Linked DNA regions of Xenopus tropicalis. The protein of the gene in region 4 purifies or fractionates together with the protein of the main gene of each other region. This does not show direct contact. Links are inferred from orthologs where the notes say so. Each region holds a gene or a part of one and is shown on either strand. Other genes may lie near its edges.

Region 1 (3,500 bases), on a different chromosome or scaffold from region 4:
ATAAAGCAATACATTGATAGCACAATTGCTAATTTTGTTGCACTTTTTTTTTTTTTTTTTTTTTGCAGGTCCATTTACAGATGTGGTAACAACAAACCTAAAACTACGGAACCCATCAGATAAAAAAGTATGTTTTAAAGTCAAAACTACAGCACCTCGGCGTTATTGTGTGCGACCAAACAGTGGCACCATAGACCCTGGATCCACAGTCACAGTTTCAGGTTGGTGTACTTGACAATTAAAAATTGACATCTTTGCTTATTCGTATTCCTATATAGGACCCGTTATCCAGAATGTTCGGGACCAGGGGTATTCCAGATTTAGGGGTCTTTCCATAATTTAGATCTCCATACCTTGTCAACTAAGAAACCAATAAAACATTAATTAAACCCAATAGGATTGTTTTGCATCCAATAAGGATTATTTATATCTTAGTTGGGATCAATTACAAGGTACTGTTTTATTTCTACAGAGAAAAAGGAAATCGGTTTTAGAATTCTGAATTATTTTATTAAAATAGAGTCAATGGGAGATGGGCTTTCCGTAATTCTGAGCTTTCTGGATAATGGGTTTCCGGATAAGGGATCCCATACCTGTACTAACAACAAATGATGCAGAGACCACTTTTACGTGTATACAGTGGTGTGAAAAACTATTTGCCCCCTTTCTGATTTCTTATTCTTTTGCATGTTTGTCACACTTAAATGTTTCTGCTCATCAAAAACCGTTAACTATTAGTCAAAGATAACATAATTGAACACAAAATGCAGTTTTTAAATGAAGGTTCACGTTATTAAGGGAGAAAAAAAACTCCAAATCTACATGGCCCTATGTGAAAAAGTAATTGCCCCCTTGTTAAAAAATAACTTAACTGTGGTTTATCAATTTCAATTTTCAATTTCAATATCAATTTCTGTAGTCACCCCCAGGCCTGATTACTGCCACACCTGTTTCAATCAAGAAATCACTTAAATAGGAGCTACCTGACACAGAGAAGTAGCCCAAAAGCACCTCAAAAGCTAGACATCATGCCAAGATCCAAAGAAATTCAGGAACAAATGAGAACAAAAGTAATTGAGATCTATCAGTCTGGTAAAGGTTATAAAGCCATTTCTAAAGCTTTGGGACTCCAGCGAACCACAGTGAGAGCCATTATCCACAAATGGCAAAAACATGGAACAGTGGTAAACCTTCCCAGGAGTGGCCGGCCGACCAAAATTACCCCAAGAGCGCAGAGACAACTCATCCGAGAGGCCACAAAAGACCCCAGGACAACATCTAAAGAACTGCAGGCCTCTCTTGCCTCAATTAAGGTCAGTGTTCACGACTCCACCATAAGAAAGAGACTGGGCAAAAACGGCCTGCATGGCAGATTTCCAAGGCGCAAACCACTTTTAAGCAAAAAGAACATTATGGCTCGTCTCAATTTTGCTAAAAAACATCTCAATGATTGCCAAGACTTTTGGGAAAATACCTTGTGGACCGACGAGACAAAAGTTGAACTTTTTGGAAGGTGCGTGTCCTGTTACATCTGGCGTAAAAGTAACACAGCATTTCAGAAAAAGAACATCATACCAACAGTAAAATATGGTGGTGGTAGTGTGATGGTCTGGGGTTGTTTTGCTGCTTCAGGACCTGGAAGGCTTGCTGTGATAGATGGAACCATGAATTCTACTGTCTACCAAAAAATCCTGAAGGAGAATGTCCGGCCATCTGTTCGTCAACTCAAGCTGAAGCGATCTTGGGTGCTGCAGCAGGACAATGACCCAAAACACACCAGCAAATCCACCTCTGAATGGCTGAAGAAAAACAAAATGAAGACTTTGGAGTGGCCTAGTCAAAGTCCTGACCTGAATCCTATTGAGATGTTGTGGCATGACCTTAAAAAGGCGGTTCATGCTAGAAAACCCTCGAATAAAGCTGACTTACAACAATTCTGCAAAGATGAGTGGGCCAAAATTCCTCCAGAGCGCTGTAAAGGACTCGTTGCAAGTTATCGCAAATGCTTGATTGCAGTTATTGCTGCTAAGGGTGGCCCAACCAGTTATTAGGTTCAGGGGGCAATTACTTTTTCACACAGGGCCATGTAGGTTTGGATTATTTTTCTCCCTAAATAATAAAAACCCTCATTTAAAAACTGCATTTTGTGTTTACTTGTGTTATCTTTGACTAATAGTTAAATGTGTTTGATGATCAGAAACATTTTGTGTGACAAACATGCAAAAGAATAAGAAATCAGGAAGGGGGCAAATAGTTTTTCACACCACTGTATATCATTTTGCACATTTCCATTTTAAGATAGCTTCACCATAATATTAATGCGATGTGGATCGTTATTTTTTTTCTTTGTTTTTGGATTGTTTAGCTTTTTAGTTTACTTTCCTGTTAATGATAATGATGGCCCTATTTAATCCCTAGGAAGAAATGGTCATCAAGCTGGTTTAGGAATTTTGCCACATTGAAAATATTATTCAAACTTGAGAAATTAATTATGCTGTACAATTGTTGGTAGGCAGGTGGATGACCAACAAACAAATCCTGAGACCGCACAAATTAGAAAAAAAACTTAGGCAAAGATGGAGTTTTTTGGCTGCATTTTTAGTATTAAGATTTTGAATTTAGGGGCCAGACGATTGAATTAGAACGGTGGGTATAGGAGCAGTAGGTTTGGTGAATCAACAAGCCAATGCGGTCCCCAATTCGACTGAAAAATCAAACCTGTCCGGTTGAGATCTGGCTGATTTCAAGCTATATGTTGGTCTAGCGAGCCCATCTGTTCCCATACACGGGCGCAAAAGCTGCCATGTCGGTTTAAAGGACCGCTAGAATTGGCCAGTGTATGGCCACCTTAACTTGCAGCGCAGCAGTGACTGAAGTTAGAGCACAGGTCACATGGCTGTAGCACCCTGGGAAATGAAGAATTTGGCTATACCCATGTGAATTTTTCAAAATAAAATTTTAAAAAACCTGTTTGCATTTTTGAAAAATGAATTTCAATGCATGGTTCTGCTGGAGAAGCTCTATTAACTGATGCGTTTTGAAGTAAAACATGTTTTTCCATGACAGTATTGCTTTAAGGGTTCTTTAGACCCACTTGCGTACCAGAATGCAGAAGTTGACAGTCTAACATCCCATCACACCCAGATCACATTTACAAAGATGTGTGTTGATTTATCATTCTTAAAGGAAAAGTAACACTAAAAAAGCTATTCTACCCTGCACCAATAACTGTCCTATCCTGCAAACCACTTAGTATTTTAAATGCTTTAATAGAAAATACCTGGTAAAACTTGGCTTCCTGTCAATTGAAGTACGGCGAAGGAAGGAGCTGCATCCACTATGTGACGATCGATTGATCAAGCCTAGCCTGACTCCTTCCTATACAGAAAGAAGGCTAGGCTCGATCAATCGATCGTCACATAGTTGATTCAGCTGCTTCCTTCGCCGTATCGCCGTACTTCAATTGACAGGAAGCCAAGTTTTACCAGGTATTTTCTATT
Region 2 (3,500 bases), on a different chromosome or scaffold from region 4:
TCAGTGTGGTGAGTGGCTATAAAAAATCCTTGGTTAAAGTGGTTCTTAAACTGAAACTGAGTGAAATCCCCCATGAGCCAAGGGTCTGAGGCAAGGCACCCAGACCCATTATATGAAGCGGTGAGCAAAGCTTGTATAGACTTGTTGTTCTGAATTTGGTTTAATTAAAGTGGCTTAGAGCAGATTTCTATTCTATAATTGGTTACAGATGCTCCATCTGTAGTTGTCAATCACACTCTGAATAGAATTATAACATCAGGGTTAGCTAGGGTTCCAAATACAACCGATGGGATATTAGGTGCCTCTATCATTGGCAAAAAAGGAGAATAGTGGGAAAAAATGGTGTCCTTTGAATCCTCCTTTCTCACTAAAGCTGTAATGTCTAAACTAGTAAGATATCTTAGGATCTGTTTTTTAAGTAAGTCCTTTGTATAATACATGCAATATGACATTACATTACCTGTCACTGAGGTGAAGGAAACTGCTGCTTTCATCTTGATGTTCATCTTCAAAACTCAGATTGGACCAGCTGCCGGTACTGTCATCCCCAACACTGACACTTGTCTGCTGGCTAGTAACAGATTCTGCTGACTGGAATCCATCTTTGCCATCAGAACTAAACTCAATTTGTAATGATAAATAAACACAAAATAGCAGATTTAAAACTCCTAGTAAATTGATTTAGTTTACTTACATACTGAAAGAATTAAAGTCACTTTTGTGTAGTGAAATAGGTTAATGGACAAGTAAAGACCCCGCCCCTATTTCCCAAATGCTATATTATGCTGCCTAAAAAAAATGATTTTTATAGCATTGCTGGTCATTTAATTATAGCTTGCTCCATAATGCCACCATAATCAGGCCACCATTTTGTCTTTCTTCAAACTTTTTCCTCTGCCCCATCTTATCAAGCCAACACCCCCCAGGCCACTCCCTGATGATAAAATCTTATATACAAACACACTGAATGCAATTAGACATGAAATTTGGACATAAAAAATAACCTCTTTCCACTAACAACGAAAATGATGTGCAACAAACACCATGAGCTAATTTGTTAGGCAACCCCACGTGTCTGTGCCTCTCGAGTATTGTGCCTCCATGTTTTTTCCACTTTCCCAGGCATCATATGCACCACCCTGGGCAAAAGCAGCACAGTACAGAATATCTTTAATTTCCATTTTGGAGTTTATACAGTTTATAGACCTGTGTTCACCCCACAAATACATAAATGCCTGCTATTGGTAGTGCTGTATTCATGAGGGTCAGGGAAGGCAGGTAGATATCCCCCTTCCAACTGCCCCTTGCACATCATTCAGATGCACAAGTTAGGGAGTGCCAGAAGGCACAGCCCACAAAGGAGACTTGTACTGTCTTCCAAAGGAAAGACAATTAGGACAATACTGCCCTGTACCCCCTGAAGCAAAGCTAGGCAACTCGTGCTGTTTTTTTTTTTTTATCCAGATAGGTGCAGAGTGCAGCCTGACTTATTTTACACTCCTTGTGTGTGCTGTGTATGCTTCTAAACAAAGCTTTCTTTACTTAACTAAAGTCCATTGTTTTGATGTTTAGACTTAAAGGTCAATGCTACAGTCGTCACTGTTACTTCTTTCTCTTATAAATGTACTTACAGTAGCACCTACTTCTAATTTGTCACCTATAATTTTACAGAGGTTTTGAAAGAAAAGACAGCAAAAATAAGCAATATAAAAGAAACACAGTAGGTCTTGAGATCTTTCTTACCTTTGGTTAACATGTCCAATGTTCTTCATAGCACACATCATTATTTCTGTGGTGAGACTATCTGCAAAGCTGATCCCTTCTGGCCCAATACCACTATCGGCAGCCAAACTTGTGTTACTCAGCTCCCGCTCTGCTTTTCCTATAGCAGCACTAACAATTTTTTCTGCAAACATTGCCCTCTTATCGAAATCAATATGAATTTTAGGTATATTATGATGAAAAAGTCTTGATTTTTGACCAGTGTTATGTTTAGACCTTGAACATTGTTTCATTCTTCTAGAGACATCAGGTCCCAAGAGAAAATGACAAGACGACTGAGTGTGTCCTTGTTCCTTTGCACTGCAAACCCTACAAACAGGTCCATATGAATGCATCAGCTTCCCATTATGTGACACTTTATCGTTGTTTTTCCTGTTTTCTAAAGCTTGAAGTCTTGCCGTTTCCAAGGTAAATCCTATGGTACTATCAACGACTTTACATGCATATTGCTCAATAGCTTGAATGACACCTTCTTTAAGACCTTCATCATTTAGGCTGCCAGTGCTATGATACAGTTTATTTGTCTGTGAATATGGAAGAAGACTCTTGGAAACATTTCTTTTGACAAGGTCACTAGTTGTCTCATCAATTTTTGATTTTGTATACAGACATGAATCAGTCAGTGATTTAGGAAGAGAAACGGCTGATATTTTTAGCTTTGTCCTTACATCACAAGTTATTGTATTAGCAAGAGTTTCAGCAAAACGTAGCAGGCCTGTGAACTCTGGTCTACGGGAATCTTTCCCGTGTCCAGAAGATTCCTCACCAAAGGAATGGTTTGAAATGCTCCTCCTTCTTTGCTTTTCCCGCTCTTGGTGCTGTGTCATGCTTAAAAGCCTGAGAATTTCCTGCATGCTGTTAGCTTCTGAGTTCCTTCTGGGTGCTGGCTTCTTATTGCATTTCAGTTTAATTGTTTTAGAAGCTTGTTGTAAGCCAGACTTTACAGCTCTATAAACTAATCTGCTGGCATACTGATCAATGATTAACTCGTTGTTCCCTCCTTCCATTTTTAGAACACGTATAATATGATCGGCATACTCCTCAGTCACACTTTCGCAGCTTGGGTATTTCGAGGTCAGACCGGCAGCAATATTGTTATAAGGGAGAGAAAGAGTAGAAGGATCAGATTCTTTAAAATTCATACTTGTGCAAATACACTCTTTTTCTTTTGGCCTGCAGTCTCTAGAGTGTTTCCTACAATGACTGCAATCAGAATCACAAACTGATTTCACCTTTGTACTCTGTTTCTTGCCCACAACTTTCTTTGCATCATGAAGGACTTCTCCAGCAATAACACCTGCATATTTGCTAAGTGTCTCCAAGGTTTCCTCAGAAATATTTCTCATGTATGCAGGGTATCCCCATTTATCACTCAAGACATGTAAAAGTGGCTTATTTTTTGCAGAAGATCTACGGACGGATTTATCATCTAAAGCATCTGCAGCCATTTCAGTGGCTACAGATAAGATGTTAGTTGACAAATAGTCAGCATACTGAGATGTTTCTTCAGAAACCTCAATATCTTCATCTTCAGAACTGCCATCACCACTAGAAGTTTCAACTTCTTCTGATAGTGACCGCATTACTTTTAGAAGAAAATCATCTTTCTTTATGCTGTCATGTTCAGAGGCGATTAAATGGGGTGTAGATGGTGGAGTAGCTGGATAAAACTCTTTTGCCAGTTGCCCTTTAAGTTTCTTACTAAGCTTTTTCATGCT
Region 3 (3,500 bases), on a different chromosome or scaffold from region 4:
ACTGCTGCAGATTAAAGGTGCTTTGCTCTGTTGTACAGGTATAGGGCCTGTTATCTAGAATGCTCAGGACTTGGGGTTTTCCAGATAAGGATCTTTACATAATTTGTATCTCCATACCTTATGAAGTCTGTGGGAGACAGCCTTCCTATAATTTGGATAAAAGATCCCATACCTGTATAATTAGCTTTTTTTAAAGACTAGTTCTTTTTATTGAACATCAGTCTGTCCAGTGTCAAGTCAGAGGCAGCTGGAAAATACCATCAAGCTTACCACGTTTTGTACAGTAACAGCTGGCAGTGTGCTTGATACAGTAGTACAGTGCTGTCCAACTGGCGGCCCGCGGGCCGCATGCGGCCCGCGACCCCCCTCTGTGTGGCCCCCCACCTGTCTGGCTGCTTTGATGGCTTACCTTTGAGTAAGCATTAAATGGTAACAGTACTGAGATTAACTGGCCCCCTGCATGGTTTTCACCTCAGATTCAGGCTGTAATCCCCCTGTATTGTTTAAAAATGTAATCCCCTGTGTTTTTCACACCTTTTAATACCTGCATGGTTCACCCCCTGCAGTGTTCACACCTCAGGCTCAGGCTGTAATCACTCCCATTGTTCACTTCTTCACACCTCAGACATAGGTACTGTAGGCAGAGTATGGCACATACAGCCAGCATAGGGCAGGTAGAGTATGGCACACACAGGCAGCATAGGTCAGGGAGGGTATGGCACACATAGGAAGGGTAGGGCAGGCAGAGTATGGCACACACAGTCAGGGTAGGGCAGACAGAGTATGGTACACAGAGGCAGCATAGAGAAGGCAGAGTATGGCACACATAGGCAGGGTAGGACAGGCAGAGTATGGCACACACAGACAGCGTAGGACAGGCAGAGTGCTGCCTGTGTGTGCCATACTCTGCTTGCTCTATGCTGCTTGTGGGAGGTGAACCTGGCAGGGGTTTGTTGTGGGAGTTTGTTAGCAGTTGGAAATAGCCATTAAATGGTCCCTAAGGTGTGTAATTATGTACTGGGGGTTGCTCTGCTATCCACAGGGGAGGAGGAGGCATATGGAATTTAAGGGTATATCTTAATATGACATAATTCTTTCACATATGAATGATGGTTGATATCCCCACAGTAAGGACCAAGCATTTGGGATTTTGCTGTGTTACCACCATTGTGATAAAATAGGTGTGGTTTGAAGTGGGTGTGGTTTCAAAAAGGGGAGTGGTCAAAACTGGCTTCCATTAGCGGCCCTCCACCATGTATGCTAGAGAAATTCCGGCCCTCGGCACCGTAGAAGTTGGACAGCACTGCAGTAGTACATTGGGTCCTGTGCCTATAATCATGTTCCCAGTGAAAATATCTGAATCATCTGTACCTATAGAAGAAGCTGGGAAAATACAAATTAATTTGTCAAGAAATATAAGAAAGGTCACTTTGACACACCCACCTCTGTTTTTATGTATTTATCCGATAGCACCTGTTGATCCAGTGCTCCTTTGTTTCCCTTATTGTGCATTTTTATAATGTTTGCAATAGGCCTTCTTTTTTTGTGGTTTTTCAGTTATTTAGCTTTTTGTTCAGCAGCTCTTCAGTTTGGTATTTCGGCAGCTATCTGGTTGCTAATGTCTTAATTACCCAAGAAACCAGCCAGTAATTTGAATGAGAGATGGAATATGAATAGTTAAAGGACTGAGTACAAAGATAAGCAGTAAAAGTAACAATAACGATAGAATTTTAGCCTCAGAGAACAATAGTTTTAAGTCTGCTGCTGTCAGTGACCCCCCTCTGAAAGCTAAAAAAAGGCAGAAAAGGAAGGTAAATAATTAAAAAAATAAAACTATAAAAATAAATGATGACCAATTGCAAAGTTGCTAGGAATAGGACATTCTATAATATACTAAGTGAATCGCCCCATTAAATATTAAAGTATTCCTTTGGATCTGTGTACATTGTGCCATAACTCACACGTTTAATTATACAAATAGATGCATCCACCAATGTACGAATGTACAATTTAAGAGGTATTTTTGGTTGATTTTTTTTTTTAAATTTTTTTAAAAAAAGCTTGAAAAACTGGAAACTAACCTAAAGGAAAAGACAGACAAATGCAATGAACTGCTGCTCTGCAAAGAACAGTTCCAGCGGGATATTCAAGAAAGGAATGAAGAGATTGAGAAGCTGGAGTGTCGGATCAGGGAACTGGAGCAGGCCTTGCTCATCAGTGATGATACCCTTAAGAAGGTGAGTTAATTTACTTGTGACCTTCTCCCTACCTTAATATGTGATAATGGCTAGATAGGTGCATACACACGCAAAATGAAAAAGGATCCTCCACACCCAATTATCTTGTTGTATCTTGTGTCTGTGGTGCTTGGATCCAATATTTGTTAAGTAAGCATTAGCTTTACAAATGGAGGCGCAAAACTTGCCATAAACTAACTGATATTATCGTATGAAACCTTGTTTAGTACGATATTCGGTGTGTGTGTATAGTGGATCGATGAGCCGACCTGTATTGCAAAGGCTGCAAATATCGGTCGTCTCGACGATCGGCTGAGTTAAAAAGGCGGCCGAGCAAAGTCTGCGTTTAGGGCTGAATCGGCAGGTGAAGGTAGAATCCCTACTTCTACCTCCATGTCTGACAATTTAGCCCTGAACTTTAACATGTACATGTATGGCCACCTTTAGGCACAGCACCAGTGAAGATTCATGTAACGGGTGTGTGTGTTTTTAGGAATAGAATAGGATTACCCCACCCCCTAAATGTTGTTACTCACTCTCTGTAGATAAATAAATAAATTCAGAAATGGACTGGCAATCTGTTGATTCTGGCAAATACCAGAATAGGTTACACAAACTATCTGTAATGCTTTTTGATGTGATTTTTGTGTGCTGATTTAGGGATGGACGAGGGATGAAAAGTTAAATACTAAATAAACAAGTCTAAGTAATATGTACATTTTCTTGAAGGTGGAGCTCAGAAGACAGTCCATCGTCATTAGTTCCAAAGGAGAAATACCTCTAGAAGCACAACTCCAAGTGGAGCGTGACGCAATAGATCGAAAAGAAAAAGAGGTGCGAATTCCCTTAATTAAAAAAGACATTGAGACCTTTTTATTAATAGTTTATCTTAATTGTCTACAATTTTTTTCCTACATGCAATTTGCATTAGGGAGCAAGGATTTGGAAAGTGAAAGTAGCGATGGTTGCTACCAACCAATAGAACAGGATGATAAATTAGCCACACAGGTTGACTGACTTTTCTATATGGCAGTACCTTCAAATTAAGTCTTTTCAAAAATGCTTTATGACCTATTGCTACAATAGATACTGAATCGAAACATTTGGAAATATTGATTGATCCTATGATTGCTAGAATGCAAATGTTGAGAAGGGCTTTTTTCACCTTTTGAGAGGTGTCAAAATTTCTCTGCTGCAGAAAAATGTACACAGGGTGCAGTGAAACAGTGCCAGATATTACAAACTTATTATGTGAGTGGTAGG
Region 4 (3,251 bases):
CTATGCATGGTGTGAAAGCAGCTGTATTGCTGCCTCTGTTGGTTGCACATATTTCTTCATCCATGTTTGACTAAATGGAAGTATATTAAATTAACAGTGCAAACTGGTGGCACAGCAGCCTGTGGGGCATAAACATGCTTAATCAACTTTTATTACTCTGCAACATGAACAAAGAACTGAATAATGCAAGGGTTTTCCCTGCTACAGTGCTGATAGGCACCCGCTAAATACCAGAAATTGAAAGCCATATACACATAAGGTGAATGAAGAGAATCTGTGCAGATTTTCTACTGTCCGTACTGTACTGATTATCTACTGTCTAAATTTTTACACAAAGCGCTCCACTATAGTAATAAGGCCACATGCAGTATATGTGAATACAGAAAGCTCAATACATACCTTCTATATAGAGCTGTTAGGTAGAACATGAAAGCACTGCTAATGTTTTATTGTGGGACACCACATTCTGTGGCACTGAGAACTAAAATCATGACAAAGTGTGATCTCCAGCATTTATTAAAATCTTTTTAAGTTCATAAACGACAACAAAGTTACTATAGAATTGATTGCATACAGCTAGCATACACAGCATATCCTCAGTCTAAATGAAATACAAAAGATTTTAACATTTTCATACAAAGAATCCTTTTAAATTTATTGTGATGTATATATATATTTATATATATTTTTTGTTACATAAAATTTGCTACAGCAAAGTATCTTATACCTTTCTTGCACAAGGAAATAAGGATGGATAAAGACTGCAATCTTCGTCAGTCTCCTAATCACGCTGTTGTGCAAAAATGCTTGACAACCTAAAGACATACAAGAATGTTGGATAGTACATCTTAAACTCTGTTGAAAAATGTCTACAAAGGCTTTTCTTACAGGAGTGTCATACAGATTAAAAGGAAGTAGTGCCAGCGATCTATTCCCACTGACGTTTAAACAAATACAATGGCTATATACCAATACAGATCATTTGAATAAAAACAATTGTCTTTTATGCATGGAAGTGGATAATAAAATGCAACTAGTTTATTTTAAACTGTTCAGATGTGCTGTTTTTAAGACAAGGGTACATAGATACAGAGATGTGTACAAATATAGTGGAGAAGGTTTGAAAGAAAAAAAAATGTTCAGAGCCACAGACTTGTAACAAACACTGACACGGAAAAGTGCTGTTAGCTAGCACGTGGCAGCCATGTTTTGAGTCAGTTTGTGATTAAAGAAAAAGGCAACTAAGCCCAGATAGAAAGTGTGAATGTACATTCTGTCTCACTGGTAGAAGGCTGGTTATTATAACTCAAGCCAATGCTATACAATAAGGAGAAACAAAAAGAAAAGAAAGCATGGAGTAAAACACTAGCAGTGACAATTTTTGCTTACATTATCAACTTTTCATGTGAACAAAGAACTGTTGTTGTACAGAGGCATGGTAACAGTACTTCATTCTCCGATTACTAATATAGTATACCAGAATAAAACTTGGCAAGAACCTTTATTCTTTAGAACAAACAGAAAATGAGAATCACCTTAGCAATGCAATGACTCTGCGCTTCCTTATCGAATGTGTTTTTCAGACAGGAACAGCTTTTTTTTTCATCCTTTATGATCTCAATATGTTTATTAAACAGAAATAAAATATAGCTTTAACTGCAGAGCTGGTAAAGGAGTCATCATGATTTTATCACTTTTTATTTATTTATTATGTTCCATTTAAAAAATACTGACCAAAACCTGCTGTAAGAGCAGGTTTAATGTTATTTAACCCCCCCCCCCCCATATGGTGTGACATTTTAAAGTCAGCATTATGTAATTGAAAGACGTCAGCTGTAAATCCTCAAGTTTAACCAAAAAATGTGCTATGTGCCGTACAGTATGGTCACGCAACATTTAGGTCCTGCCAAAGCAAGGAACACGCGGGAAGGGGCAGCACAGTTAAAGAATAGAAAACCAAGGCACAGGATCTATCTAGCCAAATGTAGCACTCAAATTGATTTCTAACCAGTTTTGGTCAATCTCTAGGAAGAATTTTGTTCTTGAAATTATTTCCATTAGGAGATTATGGCCATGGTTAAGGTTACTTTATAAAAACCTCTCAAAATAATATTGGCCAGTAGTTCCAATTTGAGCTGTGACATGAAACATTTACCATCATACATAAATAAGGATTTACAATGTAAAACAAAAACCTATGGAGTGGCAGAGACTAGAAACAACACTTCCTCCATTGTAAATTTTCCTAATTGCAGCAACTCCCAGATCTCTCTCTTGTACCCCCTGCCCCTCCCAACAAATAATAATACATTTTCAAAATAAAAGGGGTGTAGTTGGGTAAAATATACTTAAAAAGACAGCTGTGAGGAGGAGGGCAAAACATACAAGATGTAAACAAAAAGGAAAAAAAAAAAAAAAGACAAAAAAAGGAAAGTGGTCTAGCATTCTGTGTTACAGCACAAATCGCTTGGTTAATTGTGCCTAGATAAAAGGGTTGGTGCAAAATGCACACATGGAAGATGGCAAAATAGACCTCAGTCAGCCTTGCGGAATGAAGGAACTAGGTAACTGTTGTGACATAAGATGGTCTCAGCTCCACCCCATCTGCTAATAGAGTGCAAAGATTCCAATATGAGCCCTGATGTCATCTTGTCCTCATGCACATCCTAAAAGTCGGCAAACTCTTTTGCACATTTTTCTGTCAGAGACACACGAATATCTTCTTCTTCATAGTCATCAAAGTTACTGGTATCTCCAGGCCCTCTGCACTTTGGTATGAAGGGAGCTTCCACCTGATTTGTAAAAGGGAAAATGGATAAATACAAAACACTGTTCTTGTGACATTCCATGAATCATCAATTAATATTTGAATGGCCAATTAATTCAGGGGCACTGATAAAATGAGACTGGGAATAGGAAATCCTAAAGAATGCTACCAGGTTCTGAGCGCTCTCTATAATCAGCTTGTCTTTTGGCCCCATGCTAAAGTAAGTAATATTTGCAGGTATGTGTAAGGAAAGACACATGTGGCAATTAGTAGCTGCTACACTCATTGGTGTGAATAATTTATTATTATTATTTATATAGATTTATTATCTAACAAAAATTCCTTACCTTTCTCTGATAAATTGCTATCCAGTCTGTTGTAGCAAACCATTTGTGGTTTTTGATGTCATTAACACCATTCTTCAAGTTCCCATATCGTTTGGTCAAATCTACCTGGAGCAAGTTCCTTAGCAAGTCTTTAAGGT
Region 5 (4,027 bases), about 59 Mb from region 4:
TCACTTGGGGGTGCCAAAATGTTAGGCACCCCCAAGTGACTTTAACCGTCTACCTTTTACCCCGGGCTGGTGCCCCTGTTCGGAGAGAACAGCACCAACCCGGGGTAGCTGCTTGTGCTTCCTCCTTTGCGATTCGCTGCGCGCGCAGTAGAGTGAAGAGCCAAACTTATATTGAAGTCGGCTTTTTCGCTCTACTGTGCATGCCCGGCCACCGGCAGTTTAGAAAGCGGTGCTGTTTTCTCCGAACAGGGGCACCAGCCCGGGGTACAAGGTAAGCGGTTAAAGTCACTTGGGGTGCCTAACATTTTGGCACCCCCAAGTGACTTTGCCTTTCCTTCTCCTTTAATATCTAATGGGAGCTGCTATCTTGCTAACTTCCGACTGTTCTGCTGATTCCGCTGCTGGGGGGGGGGGGGGTATCACTCGAACTTGAAGTTTATCAGAGCACAGGTCACATGGCTGTGGCACCCTGGGAAATAAAGAATATGGCTAGCCCCATGTGAAATTTCAAAATTAAATATTAAAAAATCTGTTTACGCTTTTGAAAAATGGATTTAAATGCTGGAGAAGCTCTAGTTATTATCATATTGTACCAACAAGACATTTACTTCCTATACTTCTCTATCATGAATACATCTATGACGCAAATATGTCCATTCTGGTACCTGAGGTATTTTTACTCTGCCTCTAGCCCCAACAGCCTATATCTGCCACAGGACAATAGGAGTTTTTCAGTCAATAACATTTGAAGGTCTCTTACTCAAAAATAGCAGCATTAATTCAGTTGCGGTACAACCTGGCCTACACTGAGCTTTTACTGATTATTAGCACCATATTAAAACAAGAGAGCTGCTGCAACACTGAGCGCTCTTATCTTCACCTTTTTACACAGAGCTCATTGGCTCCCAGCGCTCCTAAGCCAAGGCCAGGCAGTAGATGACGCAGAGAGGGGCGGACCCAACGTCACCGGCCGCTGTCACTTATTGGCATGAGTGGGTGGGGCTAAGCAAGTGACATGTAAGTTCTTTTCCTGAGGGATGACAGCTCTGCTCAACTTTTCGACGCATTTACGACAGCTTCAAGAATGGACCGTGGTGACATAGAAGCTCAGGTAACGTTGCAGGTTGACAAAGCAGCCGCGTTCCCCATGTAATATACTGGCGGAAGAGGACGAGGGATTGACGTCAGAAAATAGTCCCTCCCTCTTAGCCAGTGCTCTGCCCTGTTTTTCCCGCCTCCTGTTGCGCGTTCGCGTATCCGGCCTACTCGCTGCTCTTAGGGATCAGTGCGCGCTGCGCTCTCGCCGGTTTCTGGCTGTGTGAGGTGATTCCCTGAGCCGCGGCAACTCCTCAGCGTCCGCTGGTTTGTTGGGGGGAGGGAGGGGGGACTGTGCGAGCGGAGGAACCATCAGGAATATAGAGAGGGGGGGACAGCACCCTCTGGCCTGCTTGGTGGCTCAGCTTATCCAGTGTAAGGTGTGAATAGCAGCGAAACGGGGCTACCTCCCCCCCCAACCCGGGGACGATGAGCATCGAGATCCCGCCCGGCCTGACGGACTTACTGCAGGGTTATACGGTGGAAGTGCTGCGCCAGAAGCCGCCGGACCTGGTGGAGTTTGCGATACAGTATTTCACCCGGCTGAAGGAGAAGCAGCTCCAGGATGGCGCAGGGGCCGGCTCTTTACGGCCTCACGCCCGGGTGGTCAACTTCGACGGGGAACCCATGCAGACCGAGTCTAACGGGGACGAAGAGGAGGACGAGGAAGATGACGATGACTCCGATTTCGAACGTAAGAGGCCGCATGTGCTGTGGGCAGGGCTGGAGTTTGAGAAGACGGGGGGCCCCCGGCAATGCAGGAAGGCTGGGGGCCCCCCCCCGGCAATGCAGGAAGGCTGGGGCCCCCCCCGGCAATGCAGGAAGGCTGGGGGGCCCCCGGGCAATGCAGGAAGGCTGGGGGGCCCCCGGGCAATGCAGGAAGGCTGGGGGGCCCCCGGGCAATGCAGGAAGGCTGGGGGGCCCCCGGGCAATGCAGGAAGGCTGGGGGGCCCCCATTTGAGAGGGCAGACAAAATCACATTCATCAAAGAGCTATCCTGCCCCCCAGCTTTTGTTAATGTGCAGCTCCCTGCCTTGCTCTGCTGGGGCCGATGTGCAGCTCAACACACGGGGGCTGCAGCTTGGATAGGGTTCATGTGCTCATTTAAAGTGCCCCCCCCCCCAATACTGACAGTATGAGAAGTTATTTACACTTGTAACTGTGGGACAAATGTCTTTATCCTTAATAATAATATGTAGTTCTTGACTCTTGCAACAATGTAGCTGAAGTTCTGCCCTAGATCACTTCATTTACCTGCTACTTCTACATTGTGTCAGGTGTCAGAACCAGCAGTGCAGAGAATGGAAACAGCCAGTTTATTTACCTGCTACTTCTACATTGTGTCAGAACCAGCAGTGCAGAGAATGGAAACAGCCAGGCAGATACAGTCAGAACTCATTTACAAATAAACTTCCATAACCAACGTTAATGTATATTGGAAAGGTGCTTAGAATGACATTTCTTCCTTGATGCAAGGAACCGGTTTTGAGTGGCTCTTTCGGTTTTTTCTTCCGCATATTCCTGCCCCAAAGGTGCCCCTGTGATGCTGTAAAGTCAGATGCACTACCTGCATTGACAGAGGGCTGAGGAATTGACATCTCCTCATGTGGAGCAGGGCTTCCAATGTCTTTATTTTAGTACTTTTTGTTTCTTGCCAGTGATTTTTAAAATTACCAATTACAGAGAAACTGTAAATGATTTAAGGCGCATAAGTCATTTTTTGGTGTCTGGTCTCGCTTCATAGCCTTTAGATCTTTAAAGGGGAACTCCGGCTTCTGAACCAAAATTTGTTAAAGAGCCCCACACAATAGTCATTCCTAATATACCTGTCACTGTAATCTGTTCTTTTGAAATACAGTTTTTATATGCTGAAGTCCAGCTGCAAAACAGTTCTTCTCTTTCTGCATCATTTAAAATCCTAGCAGTGGAGGAGGGACTAAAACATTGATGTTACAAATTGTAACAACTTCTCCACAGCTTACAGACAGCATGCAGGAACTACATAACCCACAATGCATTGCACCGTGAAGTTTCTTATTGACATCACGTGTGCAGGGAATTGTGTGATTGGGAGGATGCAGGCAATTACTGTTACATTTTATTTGAGTCTCAAAGTAGTCGGCCAGATCAGGCGGGGCTTAGGGAACTGTTCCAAACCATATTATTACATTAAAAATCATGAAATGGATGCATATTTTAAAATTTGTGTATTGCAAAGTTGCTTGAAATTAGCTTTACTTTTCAAAAAGCTCAAGTTGTACTTGGGTGGAGTTCCCCTTTAATAAACTTCCCTTTCAATGATGTCCTAAAGCCCTGTAAAATAAGGGGTGATTGTATATTACTTAGAAATGGTGGCAAGTACCAAGCTCCTGTGGGCAGGACACACTGTGCACATTTCTTGTCTTTTGTTGAGTTTAAAATAAATTTCAAGCTTGCTGGGCATGTACATGTTTGAGGTCTCCCTTTAGGGCAGAGGACACTACATCAGTATAAGTAATGTACCTACTAGGCAGGCTTATAGTTGCATTGTGGGATATCTGCTAGTGATGCCTGCTGCTCATTCTGCAATAGGCATAACATTTTCTCTTACAGAAACATCACTGCTGGTTATGCTTGCTGCTCATTTTCCAATAATTGCACCCACTTTATATGGAACAGTCTTCTCTAATGTTTGTGAGGTTTCCTTCATAATTGCTTGGTTTATCTCTCTCTGTAAATAATCGATTTACAGATTGTGCTCTCTGAAACCTTGTAGATAGCGTCCCACACAGAGATTAGTCACCTGCGATAGATCTCTGCTACCGCGGGCAACTAATCTCTCCAAAATGCCTTTCCTGTGGTAACAAAGGGGATCACCACTGGAAAGGCATCACTTCCGTCTTCCAAAGTGGCGCGAAGCTTCCTCCTGCAGGCAACTTTGTGGGACTTTGGA
Region 6 (3,500 bases), on a different chromosome or scaffold from region 4:
GGAGCCAATTATACCGACGTGCCACCAGCGCTGAAGACACTGTATTGTTGGAGGTGGGGATAGGTGAATCAAAGAGCCAAACATACATGGTGTAAGGAGACTGATATAAGTATGTGTATCAAGTAACAAAGTAACAAATGGACAGGAAAAGAAAAGAAACATGATTGATACTTGTAACGGATCTAATCAATGTAGCAACATGTGAAAAGAAACCAGATATAACAAGGTAGCCTATTACACGAATATCACAAGGAATTATAATGTCAAGGTACTATAAGTAACTGACCTGCCAGAAGACAGATGAACACGCAACTAAACAAACTAAGGGAAGCGAAATACTGTCAATAAAGCTAAAGGCATAGGTGGAGTATAGACAAGTGAAGACACTGCAGCCACGAACTACATCCCCTTCAAGCACAGGAAATTTCCACTACTATGAATAGAGGTGAAAGGTTAGGGCAAATAAAAAGGGGAGTATGAGACCAGTTCATTAAGTCCATATGGGTTTAAGGTATTCAGTCTGTGTTATAATTAACATGTTAATTAGACACTGGTTTAGCTGTGTGAGTCACTTTGAAAAAGGCTACTGAGGTAGCCGAAACGTTAGTCTTCTCAATAAACACCAGATTAATTCTATAAGTCCTGTGAGTGCGGATCTCTTCGCTGCTGTATATATATATATATATATATATATATATATATAGAAAACCAAAACACAGCAGGCACTCACGTAACAAAAAATCTAATTGTGCCTGGGTGCAGTCCTTCAACAAGTTATGTAGCAAGAAAAGATAGAAGCCGCACTCACAATACTAAGTCCTGTGAGTGCGGCTTCTATCTTTTCTTGCTATATATATATATATATATATATATATATATATGGTAGTAAAACATTACAGGGATTTTGTGTATTGTGTGGTATTCTAGAGAAATACTAAGATATATTAATTGTGGGTCAGATATTTTCAATTTCACACATTTATTTTATTGGGACAGAGAAAGCTAAATGGTTTTCACTCATCTGGCAACTTAGTTTAATTTATGTATAATCAGATTTGTGACATACCTGTATATGTGACATCTGGCTTGTGTCTATGCTTTACCAAATGTAATACCTATTACAGAAATTAGTTCTGGAAACCAGCAATAGCAGATGCTATATTGAGTGGCAAAACTGGTACTGAATATGGTATAAACTCTACCAATAAGATACCAAACACAGTTCTTTTTTATATATATATGCACTGACACCTGTTAAAAGAGCTCAATATGATTCTAAACCCTGGCAAAACATAAGACTGAAAATGTATCAGAATAGTTGAGGTTTTCCTCTTTAAACATTTTTAAGTCAAAATCATTTTTTACCTGTCAATTACGTAAAAGTTGTCTCCATCGTCACCCTGATCAATTACGTGTTCTCCACATTTTACGAGTTTTTCAAACATTGCATCTAATACCTGAGACATCTGTTCCTGCAGAAGAGAACACATTATTAATTAAACAACTAAATGAAACACTGTTTTATATTAAAATGTATAATAGATATAGAGTTTCCACTGATTTCCAATTATATTTTTCTGGTTTCAGATGGTTTCCCTTGCTAAATCGTCCCAGTTTTATAAACATATCAATGTGCTTGAAACTTCAAAATGAAACCCAAATTACAGATATGTTATTGTGGCAAGATACTTTGCATGGACAATTTGGTGACTGAAAAATATAAAACACAAAGGTGTCTACCTGAAAGGACCTGAAAATTGAATTTAATGGTTATTACCAAATTATGCCATTGTGGGTAACAGCAAAGGCAAAATATTGCTAAACTATAACAGTCAGGTTGTTACTTTGTTGTTACTTTCCTAGTGCCTTGGATTCTTTCTTTGTAAAAGTTTGGCTGTTTTTATATTTTAAGTCTATTCTGTTATGGCACATACAGCTAAAAAGGTACATTTTAGTGAAAATAGCTTATTTAGATTTTACATATGGGCATGGGTGAATTTTTAATAAGGTTTGGGGTTGCTAAGCCTTCCCAAACCTCCCTAAACAACTTCCTTACTGACTGTTGCTGATAATTTAAACAGTGTGGAAAAACTCCTTTCAATTTCTGCAAGTTGGTAATCAGTTGCGCTTTGATTATCTAGTATGAATAAATCTAAAGCAACTGTACTTGTTAAGTAATCACTGAAGATGTTTCACTACTCATCCGAGCAGCTTCTTCAGTTCAACTGACTGGTATGGGAAGTCCTCAGCATATGTACTCTTCCACTAATCCAATCACAATGGCACTTTGTAACTCTCCAGAAAGGTGACATCTGAAACTCACATGTGTGAAGAGTTCTGAAACTGCCAGGGTACAGATGTTAGAACAGCATTGTATGTAGCAGACAGATGGTGTTGAAGTCCCCCGCCTCTGTTTAGGGATGGTTTCTCCACGTTGACATGAATGGCCTCTTTCAAACCAGCGGTCTTCTTTGTACAAAATTTGGATGTTGCTATTTTCAAAGGAGTGTCCCTTGTCTTTTAGGTGTAGAAATACAGCAAAACTCTTCACACATCCATTCATGCAACTCTAACAAGTAACACTTGAAGAGTGGCATGATACAAAGTAACTCCACAGCATTCACACCTCTGTGAGTTTCAGATGTCACCTTTCTGAAGAGTTACAAAGTGCAATTGTGATTGGATTAGTGGAAGAGTATATATGCTGAGGACTTCCCATACCAGTCAGTTGAACTGAAGAAGCTGCTCGGATGAGTAGTGAAACGTCTTCAATGATTACTTAACAAGTCCAGTTGCTTTAGATTTATTTATACTAGATATACCATGACCTGGATGAATAAAAATCTTCATAGTCATATTGCGCTTTGATTGGCTCTTTCTTCTTGTAGCTTCTCCATAGCTCTTAACATAGACAGTGAAGTAGGCAGAGCTGGGTAGATATCAAACAAAGGCAGCAGAAGAAAAGACTGATATGAAGTATTTGCAGAAAGTCACATGAAGTTTCCTCCCCCAGGCAACTTCAGAAAATGAAGCAAAACATATGCCTTTCCACCAGCAATTCACTTTATTGCCAGTAAAAAAAAAAAAGCCTTTTGGGGGAGATTAGTTTTCTGTGGTAGCCAAGATTAACTGCGGTCGACTAATCTCCCCCTGGGCCATGAGCCTAAATGGCGACTAACTAGCTGGAATTAAACTGTTTATTTATCACCTAGCATCAGTCATATCCCTATCAGACCTCAATTAACACTTTTTGTTTTTGCATTTGCACTTACTTTTTTATTGTTTTGTTCATTTTTAGTTTGTTCAGGTGGAACCCTCATGAGACTGCATGGTTGTGAAACAAACCTATGAGTGAGGGCATGCTGAAATGCCTAGTCTCAGTACCCACTGCATCTCACTGTATATACAGTGGCTTGCAAAAGTATTCGGCCCCCTTGAACTTTTCCACATTTTGTCACATTACAGCCACAAACATGAATCAATTTTATTGGAATTCCACG
Region 7 (3,500 bases), about 40 Mb from region 4:
CGCCCCCGTGCAGACACACCCCTTAGTCCAGTTTGTCAATGTGCCATAGAATTGGCCCTTGTGTGGCTGCCGTAAGCCATCAAAATTCACAGACGATACCTTTGCTTTGTGGGGCTCCTCTTGCTGCATTTGAAAAGGTTATACCAGAGTCTTTTGTTTTAAATCCAAGAAATAATTTAATTTAGGATTTGCAATATACTGATAAGGTAGTTCTAGTTGTCTGATGTATACCACAAATCAAGTTTTCTCACATCAGGGGGTACAGGGAACGAATGGGGATTATGCTTCACCGTCCAGGAGGCAGGAAAGTTTTACACATAAATATGTACACAATAAATTTTATGCCAAAGTATGTTACATTGAAAGTGTATATTTTACCTCATTGCAACTTCTGGGGGACACAGGATCAACAAAAAATAAAGCTCTCCTATTGGCACGAACAGGGCACTGGATCATGACTAAAACACACTGCTCTCTACCTTTCTGCTGTACCCATTATCATCAGCAACCAGTTTCTAGACTTTTAATGTCTAATATAATTCATTTACATGTATTATTGTTTTCAGCAGTTAGCGAAAGCCAAGCCACTTTCTGATCATCCAATCTCAGTATGTGTGACTTCTTTGTCTGCAGATCTGAAAGATCCAGGTGAGTTGGAGGGAAATAACATCCTTAAATCTCCCACTGAATTGAAAGTACTGATTTGCACCCCCTTATGTACCATTAAATAGCATTAAATAGGTGCAAGTCCATAAATCCATTGCAGTAATTAGATATGCATAATGGGCAAGCAAATCATGGAAGATTAACCATTCGTAACCATACTGCATTAGAATGAGTAACCATTATGTTTTTTTGTAGTGGCAATGCATTTGTTTATTTGGGACACAGTTTCTTATTTTACAATAGAAGTAGATATTTTCTCAGAAGGCCTATCAGTTAAGCATTACCTGAAAGACATGGTGCATTTAATGATTGCTGACTTTTCTTTAGCAGTTGCACAGAGTAACCAAACTGAAGCATTGGAGAGTGAACTTGCCAAAGCCAAAGATGATCTGCAGCTTGTTCTGAGAAAGGAAAGAGAAAATCAGGTATATATATATATATATATATATATGTATAAAATGTTTACATTGTTTTATTGCTAGCTAAAATATAATTCTCCATGAATAAAGCCTCTATAGTCTTTCCTTTAGGAAAATTACTTATAGAACCCTAAACTGAAAATGTATCCCTTTTGTCAAATAATCAGCCCCTGAGCAGACATGAAATATACCATGTACCCTATTGAGGGATCCTAGGCTGCAAGTGAGACTTTTCAATGCTACCCTCTTATCCACTATTGTCATTTAGTCTCCATAATTTTTGCTATTTTCTTGAAGCCAGAGATGTAAATTCATCTGTTTTTGTTAACAGATTGAAGTGTCAGCTCTGCAGTCTGTTATCAGAGAGCAAAGTGAGCAGCTGCAGGAGCAAGCAGCAGACATGGATGCTTTGAACAGGAGTATTCAGATAAAAGAGGATCTAATCAAGGTGAACTGTGCATGAGAAACAAGAAATGACAAGTGTTGCCTTACCTTTTGTAGCCTTTCATTTGACCCAGTACTAGCTTTTAACTAGAGATGCTAGGGAAATGTGCGTCTCTGTTTTGATCCCAATAACCACTCACAAGCAGGCATGCCTTACTATTGTTGTCTTTGCTTTTATGAACTGTGTTTGTCGTCAATTTTATATGAACATTAGAGAGCTAATTCACTTTATCTGATGATGCTTTCTTAACAAGGAGGTTAATTGTAAGGACACGGACATCAGCTGTTGGCAGTTGTAATATAGATAGTAAGGTTTTCCTGCATTGTGAGGTAGAATAAGTTTAATCCTCTTTCTGTACCTATATATTACTATAGTTCCCATTCTCTTTGGCATGGTTGAATATTACAAATGCCTGATCCACTTGTCTTGGGTGTTTAGGATCTGCAGATGCAATTGGTAGATCCAGAGGAGGTACCTACAGTGGAGCATCTTACCCAAGAAGTCCTAAGCTTGAAGGAGAAATTGGCTATATCAGGTGTGCCAGAACCAGAGCATGGAATAGATCATTACCAGAAGGTATCTTAGTCTTCTTGCTTTTTAGCAACCACTTGCAAGCCACACTGAGACACAGCAATTAGGGCTTTTGCCAGTATGTCAATAATAATTTCACAGAGGCTAATCTTAGAATTGCAGTGCACCCTGTTCCCCATCAGCTAAAAGTTGTTCCATGCTGCAAGCTTAAAAGTGTTTTTAATCAACATTGCAGGACGCAGTAGTAATAATGTAAAGCTGTTGTGCTATTTCAGACTTTCTAAAAGCAGTGTAACGGATTTCATAAATATGGGAATTGTACAGCATTCATCCGTGAATGTATTAGCCAGCTTTCTTACATTAACATTATTTGTAGAGCTGTGTGTTCCAGGTTTCAAATAAGCCATGCGTTATACAATGCCCTTTTGTTCTGTTGCCTATTGTAGTTATCAAAGCTATTGGAGGAGCTTGTTGCTGACAGAAGCAGGCTGAATGATGCATTACATGCAGAGAAACAGCTTTACAGCAGCCTGGTGCAGTTTCACTCTGACCCAGACAGGTGAGCAGAGTTCCTTCTGATGCATAATTCATTGTGTGTCTTGTATAATGTGCAGCAGGATGCGCTGACTATTCATTCCATTTGGTTGGGTTATGTATATTATATGTATATGTATACTATATATTTACTAATGCCTTTGCATATTCATAGCAAGCATATTTTTATTTCCAAGCACTAAAACTTGGTGCTGACATTGTTTCATGTGACATTGTTTTATGGTTTCAGACATTTTTAAAAAATTAAACAAAACCTATATATGCTGTTTGTATACACAGGAGACAAACAGTAGCCCTTACATGTCATTTTCCTTGCATCCACCAATGAATCAATCTATTAAAGTAACTTCTAGATTATCGGCAACTGCACGTGTGCAATGGTAGTCCCATGGCCACTATTTCTAGTTGCATAAGGGGTCATTTTCATTCTGCGTCCTTTTATTCATAGGCTTCAAGCTGTCTGTACAAGTGTGAAGAGCACTCCTTATCTGAAATACTTAATAAACATGACACGAGCGTGTTCTTTGATAAAAATATTGGTTTCCAAATCTGCTAGACAGCTGGAAAAAGCCATTCTGTATTTAATGAAAGAATAAGGAACATCCATTACTGTATGTTGAGTGTGTGCTGTAGATTTTTATATTAACAACAAATTGCCTTTATCTGCACAAATCTATTTAGCATAAAACGCACATCAGCACTTCAGGAAGAACTTCTAACTGCACAGACATTGACGTGCCAATTGGAAGACACCCTAGAAATGGCAACAGAGCGCCTTCGGCAGCTGGATTCAGAGCGGGGGCTGACGGCCATCACCTTTGGAGGTGGGGAGTGGGGGAGTTTGAGCGTTCCTCACATGCACACGCATGCCTTCTAATCTGAAC

What was found.
Region 1: the proteins of prkacb (region 4) and vapa purify together in Homo sapiens (affinity purification with mass spectrometry; 4 studies listed by BioGRID and IntAct, counting the BioPlex papers as one, with this or other methods). This does not show direct contact. The link is inferred for Xenopus tropicalis from reciprocal best matches to the Homo sapiens genes PRKACB and VAPA.
Region 2: the proteins of prkacb (region 4) and akap11 purify together in Homo sapiens (affinity purification with mass spectrometry; 5 studies listed by BioGRID and IntAct, counting the BioPlex papers as one, with this or other methods). This does not show direct contact. The link is inferred for Xenopus tropicalis from reciprocal best matches to the Homo sapiens genes PRKACB and AKAP11.
Region 3: the proteins of prkacb (region 4) and akap9 purify together in Homo sapiens (affinity purification with mass spectrometry; 5 studies listed by BioGRID and IntAct, counting the BioPlex papers as one, with this or other methods). This does not show direct contact. The link is inferred for Xenopus tropicalis from reciprocal best matches to the Homo sapiens genes PRKACB and AKAP9.
Region 5: the proteins of prkacb (region 4) and prkar2a purify together in Homo sapiens (affinity purification with mass spectrometry; 6 studies listed by BioGRID and IntAct, counting the BioPlex papers as one, with this or other methods). This does not show direct contact. The link is inferred for Xenopus tropicalis from reciprocal best matches to the Homo sapiens genes PRKACB and PRKAR2A.
Region 6: the proteins of prkacb (region 4) and prkar2b purify together in Homo sapiens (affinity purification with mass spectrometry; 7 studies listed by BioGRID and IntAct, counting the BioPlex papers as one, with this or other methods). This does not show direct contact. The link is inferred for Xenopus tropicalis from reciprocal best matches to the Homo sapiens genes PRKACB and PRKAR2B.
Region 7: the proteins of prkacb (region 4) and pde4dip purify together in Homo sapiens (affinity purification with mass spectrometry; 5 studies listed by BioGRID and IntAct, counting the BioPlex papers as one, with this or other methods). This does not show direct contact. The link is inferred for Xenopus tropicalis from reciprocal best matches to the Homo sapiens genes PRKACB and PDE4DIP.

Annotation. Positions count from the first base shown.
Region 1 is NC_030682.2:104,685,147-104,688,646, forward strand, and holds part of vapa (vesicle-associated membrane protein-associated protein A), read left to right. Parts: intron 1-68; coding exon 69-221; intron 222-3,500. UniProt on the Homo sapiens protein: Endoplasmic reticulum (ER)-anchored protein that mediates the formation of contact sites between the ER and endosomes via interaction with FFAT motif-containing proteins such as STARD3 or WDR44.
Region 2 is NC_030678.2:132,806,060-132,809,559, reverse strand, and holds part of akap11 (A-kinase anchor protein 11), read right to left. Parts: coding exon 1,744-3,500; intron 617-1,743; coding exon 461-616; intron 1-460. UniProt on the Homo sapiens protein: Binds to type II regulatory subunits of protein kinase A and anchors/targets them.
Region 3 is NC_030682.2:31,557,614-31,561,113, forward strand, and holds part of akap9 (A-kinase anchor protein 9), read left to right. Parts: intron 1-2,060; coding exon 2,061-2,237; intron 2,238-2,966; coding exon 2,967-3,071; intron 3,072-3,500. UniProt on the Homo sapiens protein: Scaffolding protein that assembles several protein kinases and phosphatases on the centrosome and Golgi apparatus. Required to maintain the integrity of the Golgi apparatus. Required for microtubule nucleation at the cis-side of the Golgi apparatus.
Region 4 is NC_030680.2:77,758,749-77,761,999, forward strand, and holds the end of prkacb (cAMP-dependent protein kinase catalytic subunit beta), read right to left. Parts: coding exon 3,115-3,251; intron 2,793-3,114; coding exon 2,667-2,792; 3' UTR 501-2,666; downstream 1-500. UniProt on the Homo sapiens protein: Mediates cAMP-dependent signaling triggered by receptor binding to GPCRs.
Region 5 is NC_030680.2:136,484,714-136,488,740, reverse strand, and holds the start of prkar2a (cAMP-dependent protein kinase type II-alpha regulatory subunit), read left to right. Parts: upstream 1-1,227; 5' UTR 1,228-1,524; coding exon 1,525-1,789; intron 1,790-4,027. UniProt on the Homo sapiens protein: Regulatory subunit of the cAMP-dependent protein kinases involved in cAMP signaling in cells. Type II regulatory chains mediate membrane association by binding to anchoring proteins, including the MAP2 kinase.
Region 6 is NC_030679.2:76,663,705-76,667,204, forward strand, and holds part of prkar2b (cAMP-dependent protein kinase type II-beta regulatory subunit), read right to left. Parts: intron 1,473-3,500; coding exon 1,366-1,472; intron 1-1,365. UniProt on the Homo sapiens protein: Regulatory subunit of the cAMP-dependent protein kinases involved in cAMP signaling in cells. Type II regulatory chains mediate membrane association by binding to anchoring proteins, including the MAP2 kinase.
Region 7 is NC_030680.2:118,175,242-118,178,741, forward strand, and holds part of pde4dip (myomegalin), read left to right. Parts: intron 1-566; coding exon 567-648; intron 649-993; coding exon 994-1,091; intron 1,092-1,416; coding exon 1,417-1,533; intron 1,534-1,968; coding exon 1,969-2,106; intron 2,107-2,507; coding exon 2,508-2,620; intron 2,621-3,297; coding exon 3,298-3,440; intron 3,441-3,500. UniProt on the Homo sapiens protein: Functions as an anchor sequestering components of the cAMP-dependent pathway to Golgi and/or centrosomes.